2 linked regions of the Oreochromis niloticus genome follow. The protein of the gene in region 2 purifies or fractionates together with the protein of the main gene of each other region. This does not show direct contact. Links are inferred from orthologs where the notes say so. Each region holds a gene or a part of one and is shown on either strand. Other genes may lie near its edges.

What was found.
Region 1: the proteins of prkacab (region 2) and palm2akap2 purify together in Homo sapiens (affinity purification with mass spectrometry; 5 studies listed by BioGRID and IntAct, with this or other methods). This does not show direct contact. The link is inferred for Oreochromis niloticus from reciprocal best matches to the Homo sapiens genes PRKACA and PALM2AKAP2.

Annotation. Positions count from the first base shown.
Region 1 is NC_031972.2:26,864,434-26,871,902, reverse strand, and holds the start of palm2akap2 (palm2 and akap2 fusion), read left to right. Parts: upstream 1-4,416; 5' UTR 4,417-4,913; coding exon 4,914-4,957; intron 4,958-7,469. UniProt on the Homo sapiens protein: Binds to regulatory subunit (RII) of protein kinase A. May be involved in establishing polarity in signaling systems or in integrating PKA-RII isoforms with downstream effectors to capture, amplify and focus diffuse, trans-cellular signals carried by cAMP.
Region 2 is NC_031971.2:31,066,239-31,073,411, reverse strand, and holds the start of prkacab (cAMP-dependent protein kinase catalytic subunit alpha), read left to right. Parts: upstream 1-4,086; 5' UTR 4,087-4,841; coding exon 4,842-4,887; intron 4,888-6,317; coding exon 6,318-6,379; intron 6,380-7,173. Other genes in the region: asf1bb (histone chaperone asf1b-B), read left to right, coding at 809-985, 1,638-1,835.

The sequences.
Region 1 (7,469 bases), on a different chromosome or scaffold from region 2:
TGCAGGGGAGCAGAGTGAAAATCGAAAAAAGCCACATGTGGTAGACTCTAATACTCTTGTTAAATGTCAACAATAAGCCAAAGCATGGAGAGAAAAATATATATATATTTTTTTTAAATGTTATTTTCAAACACATCCATAGAGTTGTATTGGTATAATAACCGCAGCTTCAGACTGTATTTAAAAGTCATCCTGAAGCAACACATATTCCATATGAATGTTTATTACTAAACAATTAGCGCCAGATAATCTCAGAACTCAACATCCTTAACAGTTAAACTTCACAGATAAACGCATGCTCCCGCGTCTTCTTTAAATATTACATTGAAATTAATTCTGTTTTTTTGTTAATACAAATTATTTGTATTACTAAACTAAATTAGTCTGCTCTCTCGCAGATCAGTTCTTCTGCATCCTGCACAAATTTCAGTCAAGTTTTAGGTTTCACCTCAGAGCACAGTCTGCTCATCTAAGGGTGACAATGACTTATTTTTAAGACCTCAAAGTCTGTCACTGTGCCCTACACATGCTCCTGGAATTCAGTAATTTGTCCTTTAGTGAGTTCCCTCCTCTAGAAACAGATCTTCAATACAAGTTCATTTACTTCTGTACCTATTTTCTGTGGAATACCACAAGGCTGCATTCTAGGGCCTTTTTTTAAAAAAAAATATATAAAACTTCTCCTGCACACAAAACCTTGTTTTACCTAAAGCTGGTGATCATAGCCCTTCAGCAAACTCCACAACTACTAGTTGAAATAAAGAGCTCAAAAGTTTTATCTGACAACCCTTTTGTTTTCTGTTGCCTTTTCATGTCTTGTCATGAAAATATGGCTCTCTTCTGTGAAATCCTCTGCACAATGCTGTTGTGTTAATGCACATCCATTTATGTTTTCTGTGCTTTGAATTTAACTGATCCAACTTTGATTTTTTCTTAAATGTGCTCATAAACAAATTGAGTTCAGTAAATAACCTATAATATTAAAACTTTTAATTCCTCAAAGTTATGAGTTTATAAATGAGTCACTTTTGAGCATCACTATTTCTTCTATATTAGAAAAAGACTTAAGAAGAACTAATCCCATGGGGATAATTTATTAACTGCATATGTTAAAATCTATATATTACCATTATATTATACCGCCTAAGCTCAGCAGCATGAATAACCACATGCTAGTAACACAACCTCCAGGGTGGGATTGAGTGTTGGTGTGTGTAAAAGAGGGTGGAGGGTGCAAGAGTGGTGCCCATTTAAGGTCACTACCTAAACCTAAAGAGCAGCCTCTAAATAGTTGACATACCAAGCAACATGATAACCATGGACTCAACACAAACTGATGGGAAGGGACACAGAGGGAGAAAGAGGGCGCAGCAGTGAGGAAGCAGATGAGTTGAGAAGAAACCATACAAGTGACGACAAAAGTGTGACAACCAGGAATGTGAAACATGTCAGTGCTTTAAGAAATGTGATATTCACTTTGTCCTTGAGCCGGGTAAATGACCTGCACAGCGAAAAACTCAAGACCAAGAACATTTATGGCAATATTGAGCTATCATATAAAATAGCTTTACGACTTATTTAACTTCCTAAGTCTTATAATTTGTCCTTTTTTTTTTTTATCTGCACCACCCTCCCAACAGTCTGGAATATTATGAAACACAAAAACAACTGTGTATATGTTGCACACACAACTATAGATCATATGCTGTGCAAAAATACCTTTCTTCCCCGTTATGACGCTCAGGTTGAACTTCAGCAGGTCGTCTTGATGATGTCTACATTCTGAGTCTAAATTTGTTGAGTTGCTGCCAGGTGATTGGCTGATTATATATTTGCATCAGCAGGCAGATAAAGAGGTGTACTAATAAAGTGGCCAGTGGAAGAATATTGATTGGTTTAAAAGTGTGCTCCACTTAGCTAGTGAGATTCTGGGATAGATGAGTAAGGCAGATGGATGACGGTGGTAGATGAGTAGCACCTTAACCCTAAGGGATTTGAGTTTTTGTTTTATTTTACTTCAGAGGTAATCTTTTGTATTGTATTGTAAACGTTTTCATGTCCTCCTTCCTGTCAGTGGGGAAAAAAAGATTGGTTAATAACAGCAGGAAAAAAGGAAAGATGTCAGAGTGAGGCACGTTCTCATGGACTTAGTCAAATATTAAAAGGAGGAAATAAGAGAAACCAGAAAGATTAGATTATGCTTTTCCCTGGCCCCCCTTCATTGCTGCTAAGTGTGCGTCCAGCAGGTTATAGAGCCCATAAAAAGACATTTGAGCTCCTTGTTCGGCTTTCTGAGAAAAGTTCCCATAGACTAAACAGCACTCACTACCCTGCACTTACAGTAGCAACCAGTAGTCAGTTTAAAATATCTGATGAGATCCAAAAAGCCACAAACCACTTTTATATTGGGAATATCTGCAATATGTTGTGTTAATTCAATAGCTGATACACAATCCTCTTTGTGTTTTCAGTTTGTTTGTGGTACTTATCCGAGAGATCTGTAATTAGAAACGTGAAACTGCTGCCAGCTGTGTATATTTATAAACTGTTACCGTGAAAGACAAGTTAAAGAACACGTTACAGTTTTGTTAGATATTTTCGGAGCTGTAGAGAGAAAAAAACGGACATTTATCTTTCAGTGTGCTGCAGTTCTCCTTGACGTATTAGATATGTCATTTCTCAAGCTGAAATCTGAAGGAACTAACTGCAATCTCCCAAATGTAGTCATGACATGTCCAGGCAAAAAATTCTAACTAACCTTTCAGCATATTGTAATTTACAGAGGTTTTTTTCTTAATAAAATATAGCCTGTGGGGGGAGATTTCAGCAAATCACAGGTCTTGCTGGGTAAGAGCAAATGTGGCTGAAGAGGTTAGAGGAAAAACAGGCTTCATATCCAATCTGAAACCAAGTGTCTCTGTGGACTTTTGGTTTAATTTTTTTAACACATATGACTCAAATAATTTAACACATACTTGTCTGGTGTGAGGGGCTCTTGTTAGAGATGCGAGAGCTGCTGGAGTAAGGATGCATTTTCAATTTCTGTTGTGTTTTAGTTTTGGATGCATTCTCTCTGTAAAACTCAGGCATGTTGTATAGTCAACCACCACCATACTGTTACAGCTCCACCACAGCTCCTTGTTAACATGAATGGACCACTCTGATGACAGCACCTCTGTACATTTAGGATTGTGGAGATGTTTATGACGGCCTGCTGAAGTTCAAAATGAGCATCAGAATATTGAAGAAAGGTGATTTAAATTGACTCTGAACATGGCATGTTTGCTGGTCCCAGACTAGTCTGAATATTTCAGAAACTGATGATCTACTGGGATTTTCATTCCTAGCTAAGGTTTATGGAAAATGCGCCAAAGAAGAGAAAATAGCCAGTGAGCAGCAGGGAAGAAAATCCCTTAGTAATGTTAGATTTCAGAGGAGTGTGGTCAGACTGCTTGGGCTGATAGCAACCAAAGTATTGCAGAAGAGCATGTCAACCCTTGAAGAAGATGGGTTACAGCAGCAGAAGACCATATTGGGTGACATCCCTGTCAGCTCAGAACAGGAAACTGAGGGTACGGATTGCACAGACTCACAAAAAGTATACAATAGAAGATTGGAAAAAGCTCAAATGGCAGGATCAGAATTTGGTGTAAACAACATGACACCCTGGACCCATCCTGGCTCATATCAGTGGTGAGATGGTGTGGGGGATATTTTCTTGCCACACTTTGAGGCCCTTAGTACCAACTGAGCATCCTTTAAATGGCACAGTCTAGTTGAGTATTGCTTCTGACCATATCCATTTCATGTCAAAAAGCTCAAACTATCTCAAATTCATTTCTTGAACATGACAATGTGTTCACTGTCCACAGTCACCAAACCTCCATCAAACAGAGCACCGTGAATGTGATGGAACAGGAGATTCACATAATGGATGTACAAATCTGCTGCAACTGTGTGATGCTGTCACATTAATATGGACCAAAATCTCTGACGAATGGTTCCATCACCCTGTTAAATCAACGGCAGGAAGAATTAAGCCAGGTCTGAAAGCAAACCAGTACTAGCTAAGTGTAACTAATGAAATGGCCAGTCAGCGTAAGACAGTGTGTTCCCAGGCTCTCACTCTAAACTCCATATGATCCTAAAAAAAACAGCTGTCGTGTTTGAATCAGTGATATAACACAGCTCAGTCCTGTCACTCCTATCCCTTCAGATATCTTCCATTTCTGAAATTTTTTTTCACATTGACCAAACAGTGTCTTTTACTATCCTACCTGTCTCTTTAAAGAAAACCCTCGTCATCCTCAGAGGGGAAAGGTTGTTTGCAAGAGGTAGTTAGTGAAAACAGGTTGGCCACTCCTTTCATTATCCTTTAACTCCCTAAAGCCATTGTTTCTCTCTCTTTCTCTCTGCTGCCTCTTTGCCACCCTCTCTTCCCTATCCCTGGCTATATCTCTATACAACAGTCCTTGCTTTCTTTCATCACTCCCTCCTATAACATATCTTTTGACTCAATTCTCTTTCTCGCTCTTTCTGTCTATATGTCCTTCTCGCTCTCTCACTCACACACATACACGCACATGCTTGCACCCGTTGCCTCCTGCTAGCAGAGCGGGGTGATGCAGGAGCGGCGGCAGCAGCTGCTCTGACACATCCTGGCGTATAAAGAACACACACCGAAAAGGCAGAAGGAAAGAAGGAGGAGGAAGAGGAGGAGGAGGAGGAGAGGAGAGGAGGAGGAGGTGGAGAAGATACAGAGGCAAAGAGGGAGGAGGACGAGGAGGTGAGGAGGACGAGAGAGGAGGAGGAGGACATAACTCTGTCAAAAGGACACTAGAGGACAGGAGTAGGAGAAGAGGACGAGGAAGGAGAGAGAGGAAAAGGGAGCGCAAGAAGCGGGTGTTGCAGCCATGTCAGACACACCTTTGCAGCGGAACGGCACAGCAAACGCCCCGTAAGTAAACCACGTTCATCTTTATGTTTCTATCTCCCTCCATCGCTCCTCTCCTTCCCCGCATCCCTCCTCTGCTCTTCCCTCCATCTGACAGCCGGGGTTGTCATGGGAACGGGGGCTCCGTCATGGTGAGGCTGCTGCTCAGTCATGACTGGAGAGGAGACACGCGGCACACCGTGTACACTCCTCCCTCTCTTCATCTCACTCTGCCTCTCTTTTCTTCACTTGCCCTCGCACTCCCACCGCAGATATCTCACCTCAAAGCACATCAGCCATTTAATGCTGAGCTCTGTTTTCCTCTCTGTGTTGCTGTCTTTTCTTTGTGTCTTCAGCCTGTCTTTGTAGAAAATCAGCTTTGCACTCCTTTTTGCTCATTTTCCTCCATCCCCTTCTGGTCTGTGGTGCATGATATATATATATAGAGAGAGAGAGAGAGTATGTGTGCGTGTGTGTGTGTGTGTGTGTGTGTGTGTGTGTGTGTGTGTGTGTGTGTGTGTGTGTGTGTGTGTGCAGTGTGTTAAGTTGTAGCGTTGTCAATGTGGAGGCTGCAGGCTCGGTCCAGCTTTTCTGTGTCAGCACAGTCCGCCATGCTGCAGACCCCCTCTTCCTGTGTGTAATTTTTGTGTCTATGTGTGCGTGTGTACATTTGTATAGCTTTTTTGTTTGTTCTTTTACTCATGAGAAATAAATCAGTGCAAAGGCAGAAAGAAAATGAAATTTTAAAAAGCCACTTGGGGAAATTTAATTGTCAGTTATTTTATAGACACAGCATGAAAGTCAGCCTGAAATGAAGCAAGTAGTCATGAAACCACACAGCCAAGAAAAACTAGGAAATATGTGTTGAGAATTGTGTCTGGGATTAAAAACAATCTCTGTTGCACAATGCTTTACTCGTTCTGAGAAAGATCATTTAGATGATTCTTACATATTTAAAGATAAAGAGTCTTTTGTAATGAAGAATGCTGTTCCAAACAAAACCCTTTATATCAGGAAATGACCTTACATGAGTTGAGAAGACAGCTACAGTTTTGTAATGTGTTTGTAAAGCGAGCCTGTTGCTTTAAGAGAAAATAATATCATGGGTGGTTTGCAGTGTGTTTGCAGATTTGGTGCTGGTGCATTAGCACTGTCTCCAAATTTATATTACAATTTGGGTAATAAAAATTAGGAGGAAAGACAGTAGTTTGCAGTCATGAAATCATAAATATAGTCAGCAAACTGTCCAGATTCTTGACTGGAACATCGGACAAAGACAGACAGTCTAAAGTTTTTAAAACAGGACTAATATTTGGTATCCATATCCACAAAACAGACACTTATTTAATTAAAATTAAACTCCCTACCAATACAGGAGAACATGTGATTATATACCTAAGTTAGTTCACACAATAATCTACCAAATTTAATATACTTATGCTGTAGCTGTGGCCTTTCAAACCAATTTCCCCGGGCATAGAGTCTCAAAGCCTGGGATAGATGGGCATAGCTTCCAGGTAAAGGAAAACCGATGTGTAATTGTGTAAAAGTTTATGAGAGAATTGCCCTCAGCTCCCTTAGTCTGTGACCTCAAATACTTTCCTACTAAATGTAACATTTTGTAAATCATGGTCCCCATTTCATTTAGAAAGGGGAATAAGGTAGGTGCTCTAGGGTGGACCTGCTTTGTGATTGATACGTCAGTACCAAATGACAATCTACAGACCTAAAAATGAAGCAAACACTCAAGTGCTAAAAGCCAAGCACACGTCATTTAAACAGCAATTTAACTAAAGATGGTATATCTTTTTATAATTCATTCACTCTGTGCTGCTTTGACTTCCTCACTATTAATTTTGCTTAGTGTGTGGCGCAGATGTCTCAGTATTGTATGAATCATGGCATTAAAACATATTAACTTGCATCTTTTTCTTCCTTACAACACTGCTGAACCTTCCCCTTGAACTATGATAAGCTTAAGATGCTCATCATACTTAAAATGTAAAAAAAAAAAAAAGAAAAACCTGTGATATAATGGATGGTCAGTTGATATTAAATTACAATATATCAGTGTGGTTAGCGGTCAGTCTGTGGCCTCACATGTAATGTGATCTCAAATGTGGTTTTGTTTCTGTTAGTAATGATAGATGTTAGAAGATGTGAGTTCATCAGTTCATCAGATTGCCTTTTCAATATCCATTTGGGGGTCTTTTTTTCTGGCTATGATGTGTCCTTGTGCAGGGTTTGTTTTGTATGTTGAAAAAAACCCTCCAGAACTATCAGAAAAGCAAATGAGTGAACAGTGATTTGGTTTGAGTGGCATCCAACTTGACTTACTGCAGCTAACTACAGGCTTAGAGCCTCAATCTGCAATCGTCAGACACTTTGACTGACAGGTTCCAGTGTCTTTTTTTCCTTTCCTCCTTCATAGCCACACCCATGATCAGGAAAGGCCAAGAAGGTGCAGCAAGGCTTTAAGCAGACATGCTTTGCTGGTGCATCAATAGTTAATGTTATAATTGGAAAAATGAGGCAG
Region 2 (7,173 bases):
TGGTGTGAACTTTAAGTGCAGAAAAGTACTGTCAGATTTTTCATCTGATGTATGACGGCTTTTGAGAGGAAAGGAAGCCATGGACAAGCACCTTAGCTTGTTTTGTCAAGAAGTGAATTGGAGGTTCTTGTCCAAGCCTCCTTCTCCTCTTGTTTGGATTATTGAATGGAGTTTTCTGTTCTGACTCAAGCATCTATTAATTCCCTTCAGTCTGTCCAAAATGCACCTGTGAGACTCTTAACTCACTCTCAAAAGGCTTCATATGTCAGTCCACTTCTAACATTTTTGCACTGGTTTTCTGTCAGGTTAGAGTACAGTTTTAAAATTTTGGTTTTTCATCTCCATTATCAAAGTGCTCCACCCCTATTCTCCAGGCCGAGTTCGTAGGTCCTCAGAAGCATTCATGTAATTTCATATATCCTTTTGAAAACTAAGGGTAGACTGTGGCTTCCAAACCTTAGCTCCAAAACTTTGGAACAGCTTCCCACTCATTCTTTGCACCTTCCAGTCAGTGGCATCCTTTAAACGGCAGCTTAAAATGCATCTGTTCAGACGGGCATTTGGGTTATGTTTGTGTTTTTGCTCAGTTCATGTGTATCCATTTTGCCTTTTTTAACCTCTATAAAGCACTTTGAGTGTTCCATGTCTTCAAAATTGTTATAAAAGTGATTTTCACATACTCCTTTTGCACAATATCATATATAATGTATTTGATATCCCTGGTTTGGTTAACCAGTTACTGTTTCATTTATAGGATAATTACTTAGAATTGATCTGATTTCTTCTCTGTGCTCATTTACCCTATCAGGCTGACGCTCCTAACACAGGGCTGATTCCAGAAAGCGATGCTGTAGGAGTGACCGTAGTCCTTATAACCTGCACCTACCGTGGACAGGAGTTCATCCGCATCGGCTATTATGTCAACAATGAATACACGGACCCTGAACTACGAGAAAACCCACCTCTCAAACCAGATTACTCTCAGGTAACATACACAAGTACACCAATGACCATCATGAATAATACTGAGGGAAGCTGTTTCCAGCTGTCTGCATTTACTGTAATTAATCACTGAAGTGTACCCATGGTGCTAATTTATTTTATTTTATTCAGATATGACCACATTACATCAGCATTAGATGGTATTAAGTGTAGAATATGGGCCATATTTGTGGAAAAGTACTATAAATGGCTCTCTGCTGCCCTCTTGTGCCCGGAAATGTACAATTACAGATGACTGTAGCATCCTGTACGAAATAAAAGTAGAATTAACTGGGGATTATTTAGCACTGTGTTTTTGTTTTATTTGGTCTTGCATTGTTTTAAAAGAATGCACTAGTTCCGGTGGAAAAAAGTGTATTTCATGCTTCCTTGTACCAGTATCTACATTAGCATTAAAATCATTACCTTGTGCTTTATTCTCTTTACACTGGTCTTTTCCTTCTACAAATCCAACATAAAACCAACTATTCATTGTATTTAATTCAAAGCTATCCCATGTTCTGAGGGGAAATGTGCACTCCTAAGGATGGCTGTCATAACTAACTATTGAGCTCCCTAATTAGTAATCTAATTATGTCCTGATGTAAAAACATTAGCAGTCCACCCCTATTTCTAACAAGTTCTCATCATTGCAGCTCCAGAGGAATATTTTGGCCTCGAATCCTCGTGTCACCCGTTTTCATATCAACTGGGAGGGCTTGGCAGACAAGATGGAAGACAGTGAGAATGTTGACCCGTCCCCCAACATCAGTGGCATGTTCCCTCCATCCTGTATACCAGGAAAGATGCCACATCTAGGAGTGATGCCAGATAACTCCATGGACTGCATGTAAGAGGCATCAAATTAATGCAATGGATAAGGAGCCCTTCTTATCTATACACGCCCACATTGCAAACACACATTTATACAAGGAGGCCATGGATGTTTCTGTATAACATGTGGACTTTAACAGAAAGCACAGGACACCACAGCATAGACATTATCTTTTTATAAAGCACTCAAAAATGGGATTGGTCTGGAATTGTTACCACCTTTGGTTCCTCCTCTTTACGCACTTCCTTTCAACACACACACACACAGGTGTGCACAGTCAGATTTGCCTTAATTTATTGTATTTCTGTATAAGATTATATTTCATGCCTGGCTGAAAGAAGTGCAGATCATCAGTGCAGGGCCAGGTCGCTTCAACAGCCCTGAAACGTGTGGGACAAACTCAAGATTCTGATACCCATGTTGTTCATTTTGTCCTTTTCTGCACAGATCAACTAGTGCTATGTGATGGGAAGGATGTAGCACCTAGCTGCTTATAGTAGAGCACTTCATTCTTTGTAAGATTTGTCTCTTGTGACACCTACTGGGGGGAGGGAATTGGGTTTAAATTATGGGCCGTGTTTATGATATTGTGGCATCAAGTGGCTTTATTCGCATTAACATGTTTTTCCCCAGGGTTATCCAGATTACTCTGTAAACCTGCTTCTGTGAATAGGCCCCAGTTCACCTACTGTTACATAAAACGACTATATGAGCAAAACATGTAGGTAATGATGAAGGATGCCAAATTGCATTGTGTGTGTGTGTGTGTGTGTGTGGATGATTTAGGCTTGCTGTAAATAATGTTTTCCCTGTTCTTATTTTGTCTTCAAAACAAGAAGGCATGTTTTCATTTTGTACTTACTATACATTCTCAGCTTCAGTATTTGTAACAACAGTGATGGGGTTAATAAAGTTTTTTTTTTTTTTTTTTTGACCTTGTCGTGTTTCCTGTTAATCAGAACATGTTACATACGGCTGCTTTCCACCTTGACTTGTGTGGAAGGAAGCACTGCAACAGCAGAGAGACTCAGCACGTTGGCTTGCTCCTCGCCCTCCCATCTCTGGCTCCTTTCTGTTTTCCGATTTCATTCATAAAATGCAGCACCACCATTTTCACTCTAGCCTCATGTTGCTAGGCAACTACTGCACAAAAGGAAAGGGGGGCCTGTCTGTGTTCTCTTGCCCATTTTATCTTAGTTGAAGGGACCAACTCCCCCATCCATCCATCTGTTACCTCTGTCCACTTCTTACATGTCTGCACATTTGACCAGTGTATTTTCATATATTCATATTTAGCGGTAAAACCCATATGCAGCTTCAATTGTCCTTTAACAGCAGCCTGTAGCAGCGCTCAAATGATTCGTAGGTTTTAGGGGTCATGTAGATTTAAATCTTAAATTTTATTTAATTTTTTTTTTTTATAAATGTCTGCCATTAACTTGTGAAGCATTTGACATCATTGTTCTCATCATCATGTCTTTTGTGGTGAGACTGTGATATGTAAGTTACAACCATGTATAAGCAGAATTAGTGATTTGGTTGTTTGAGTCCGTTTTACATAACCGTGGTGGTGTCGTGTGAGCCCAAATGATGGTGTCAAACCCTGCAGCAGCTGAGAGATCTCGTATTCATAGAATGGATGTTTTTTCATACCATGAGTTTTTTTTCTTTTTTTTAAATTACCATCACAAGGTGAAATTGTCATTGAAATTAGATATTCAGATGCAAATCCATGTGAAACCGAGCCTTTTGAAGGTCCTGGTAATAAAAGGACTCTCGGTCATATGCTAGGCTAAGCCTGCAGGTGATCCAGGTGCTGGGGTGGTTGTGCTGTGTTGAAGGAGGCAGTTGGAGGGTTGACTGTAAAACATTCAGAAAGACGGTATCTCTTCGAGTGTTTAGAACGACCGTCTTGTTTCCTATTATTCTCACTAAATACACTCATCATTTAACGCACGGCGGTCTGCGAAATGTTTAGAAGTCCTGCCAGCCCGACCGCGCCGCGCGTGCGTTAAATTCTGACCAACATTTCTAAAAATAGCTCGCGGTTGACGTCACTTGGCCAAACGTGTATCAGTCGCTTGGCGGCGGTGGGAGTGGGGGGCTGAAGAGGGGTTTTTTTTCTACCTGCCAATCGTTACTCACAGCCAATAGACAACTTCACATTCGCCGAGATTCCCACGGTTCGCCTGCATCGAGCCAATGGAGGACGGAAACCAGGAAAAGTGGGCGGGTATGTCGTCGGGAGGAAAATAATCGGTGACGTTCCTCTCACTCGCTTTGTGTAGGGCGGTAGGATGGTGCCGCTCTTGATGGATTGCGAAGAGCCAATCAGTGCCTTCCGTGGGATACCGGCATACATAGGTTGCCAATCCGCGGGTTGGTTGCAGCTGTCAATCAAAACCCGGTTCTGGCTAGTGGGCGGGACGTTCAGTCGACTGTAGTTCCGTCATCTCGCTCGTCTCCGAGGCTACGGGGGGCCAATGTTGATTTGGGTGAATTCCCGTCGTCGTCGGACCCCGCCGAGGTTTAATTTTTAAAAGCTGGGTTTAGTAACGAAAAGTGGCGGCTCTTGGGCTGAGAATATCGCGTCCCCGCCTCTGGTGTCGTTTTTCTTTAGGCTGGGGAGAGGTGGGGAGCCGGGGGGGCTCGTTCGGCGGGGGCTGCAAGGAGGGACAGGCGAAGACTGGATCCTCCGTGTTCAGGCCATCTGCGCCGAGCTCGGCCTTACGGTCCAGTGAAGCCCCAACGACCGAGATACCTCAAAGGTATCCTCCCCGTGGATTTGAGCTATATATCGGTCGCCCGTTGCTGATGACTGAGTGAGTGAGCCCGCTTTACCATCTCGTCTCGCCCTGGCACCGCATCAGCATCTGCCAGGCTATTAAAGACCAAGACCTCGGAGTTAACGCTTGGTGCTTTTGGATTTAGAAAATACCGATCAGACCTAATCGAGATTAGACCGGCTTGAGAAGGCTGCAGGGCGGCCAAAAAGCCACGGATCTCCCGTTGACAGGTTGTCATCATGGGCAACGCGCCCACGGCCAGGAAGGGCAGCGAGATGGAAAGCGGTGGGTACCATCGCCTGTACGCTACACATAACACATTGCTCTGTTCCAGCCTCACGAAATCACCAGAGACGGTGTGACACAGCGGCTATGTTAGCTTCAGTTAACATTCCATGCAGCGGCCTATTTCTGCTGTCTGATTTAAAAAGATCCACTCATACTGCTCAGTCCTTAAATAAGCCTCTGCCAGGATAGCTTTCAAGAGCCCAAATTACGCAGCTACATTTCAACTAACTAACCTCATAATATAGAGATAGATGAATAGGTGCTCAGTAGTAGTGGTCCGTTTTGAACAGAGCTTTTTCTGTGGATTCAGTTGATGCTGCTGTATGATAAAGCAGGTGGTAGTACAGTTTCCATAGCCAAATCACTTCACGAGGTGCAAAACAACCAACAGCTATTGTAAGCTGCAAGAATCTTGGCAACTTCACATCCTCTTGTACTCAAATCTTGGCGAGATCACAACAAGCTATGTGTCAGATATTTCCCAAACACACAGTGCCTGTTGCTCTCTGGAAAGAGATGCTGCTGAAAGTGTGGGGGCTATTTTGTTTGGTGGACCCCCTTAAGATTTGCAGATTGACACTGAGCTAGTCTGATTGTCTGCTGTACTGTAAGTCCAAATACAGAAGGATGAATGTGCTCATGTCTGAGGTTATTCTGTTGTGTGTGGGTTTTTTTTAAACTTATCATTTTTGGAATAGCAATTTATTAGAAATGATGTGTAAAGGTTTATTTAGTTATGTATGTGTCACAAACTGAAGTAAATCTGAATACTGTGATGGATCTTTTTTTAAGAAAATCAAAGAAACCGGTATGCCAAAAGGACTGCTTGACATTTAAATCAAAACATCTAAGTATATGGCATAGCTACTTGGTATAGATGCATCCTGGTCACTGAGCAGCTGAGTTGTTTAGTTAAGGTGAGAATGGAAAGTGTTGATATTTAATAGGTGAACAAGTGTTTTGAAATGTGTCCTGGAATTTGAGCTTTTAAATGAGTATACTTGTTGATGAGATTTCAAGTTCAGGTATTTTTTTCTGCACTTGAGAATATTCTGCATGTAGTTTTCAGACTATCAGTCATATCTGGACTAATTGCTGTACATTTAGAAAAATCCCAACACAGCCTGAATTACCTTACAAACAGATAAGATGATCAGTGTGCGTCTCAAAACTTTCGACACATTGGCTAATCATCCATGTAGCCTCTGGGTCTTTGTGAGTAATAGTTATGAGCAGGTGGTTTTACGATGGATATGAATAAAATTTGATTTAATTAACAATTTTTAGTCAGACTCTGTGCTGTTGACTTCAGACAATAAAGTATGTGTTCTATTTCTTTAGTTTGCTGTTTTTTCACCTTCTGTATACACACCGATGCCCCACTAAAGCCTTTCTTATGTAAACACTGGTGTGTGTTTTTTCCACAGTCAAGGAATTCCTTGCTAAAGCCAAAGAGGACTTCCTCAAAAAGTGGGAGAATCCTGCACAGGTTAGTGTGTGCATGCACTTCTGCCCACTAAGCTTCAGAAATATGATACACAGGATATATTGTTTGTAATTTAATCCTAACTTTGTTTGCATGTTAGAAAAACAGAATTTTCAATCTAATTCTTTATGGCCAAAGAAATATATACATTATTTCTGTGTGTGTTGCTGCTTTTGAAAATGCCAATCATAGCTACTGAAATTTCACTTGTTTCATGTCTTTATTGTTGATTTGTTCAGTATTACCAGCTATCACTTTATGCAAATGACAGCCAATTCTTTTGAAAATTTTGATATATTCAGATGGCGGTATAAATAAATTGGTTTGTAAATAGCATCAGTTTTATTGTTTATTGGCTATTGGTTAGTGATGATGCTACTGTCTGACTGTTTTTAAAATGCAAGTTACTGTTTCAAGTAAACTGTGACATAAAACAACTTCATATGTTTTGTCATATTTAATGCTGCAAATTAAAATTCAATATACATTTTTCATATTGTATGCAGTATGAGTAAGAAAGTTAGAAAATAACCCGTAGGGCAATGTCAACTGTATCAACCCTAAAGCTATAAAAAAAATGTTGTTTTAGATCACCTAATATTCTTCGTAGACATTAATTAAACCATTAAATCTGTAAATCTGTATCAACATTGTTTGATTTATACTGTATATAATTTTCTCCATATGTTTTGGGACACTGGCTTATTTTTTATCCTTTATTAAGCTTATTGAAGTTAAATGATGAATGTGGGGTTAAAAAATATACAGAATTTTTATTCAGTTTTATTTATTATTTT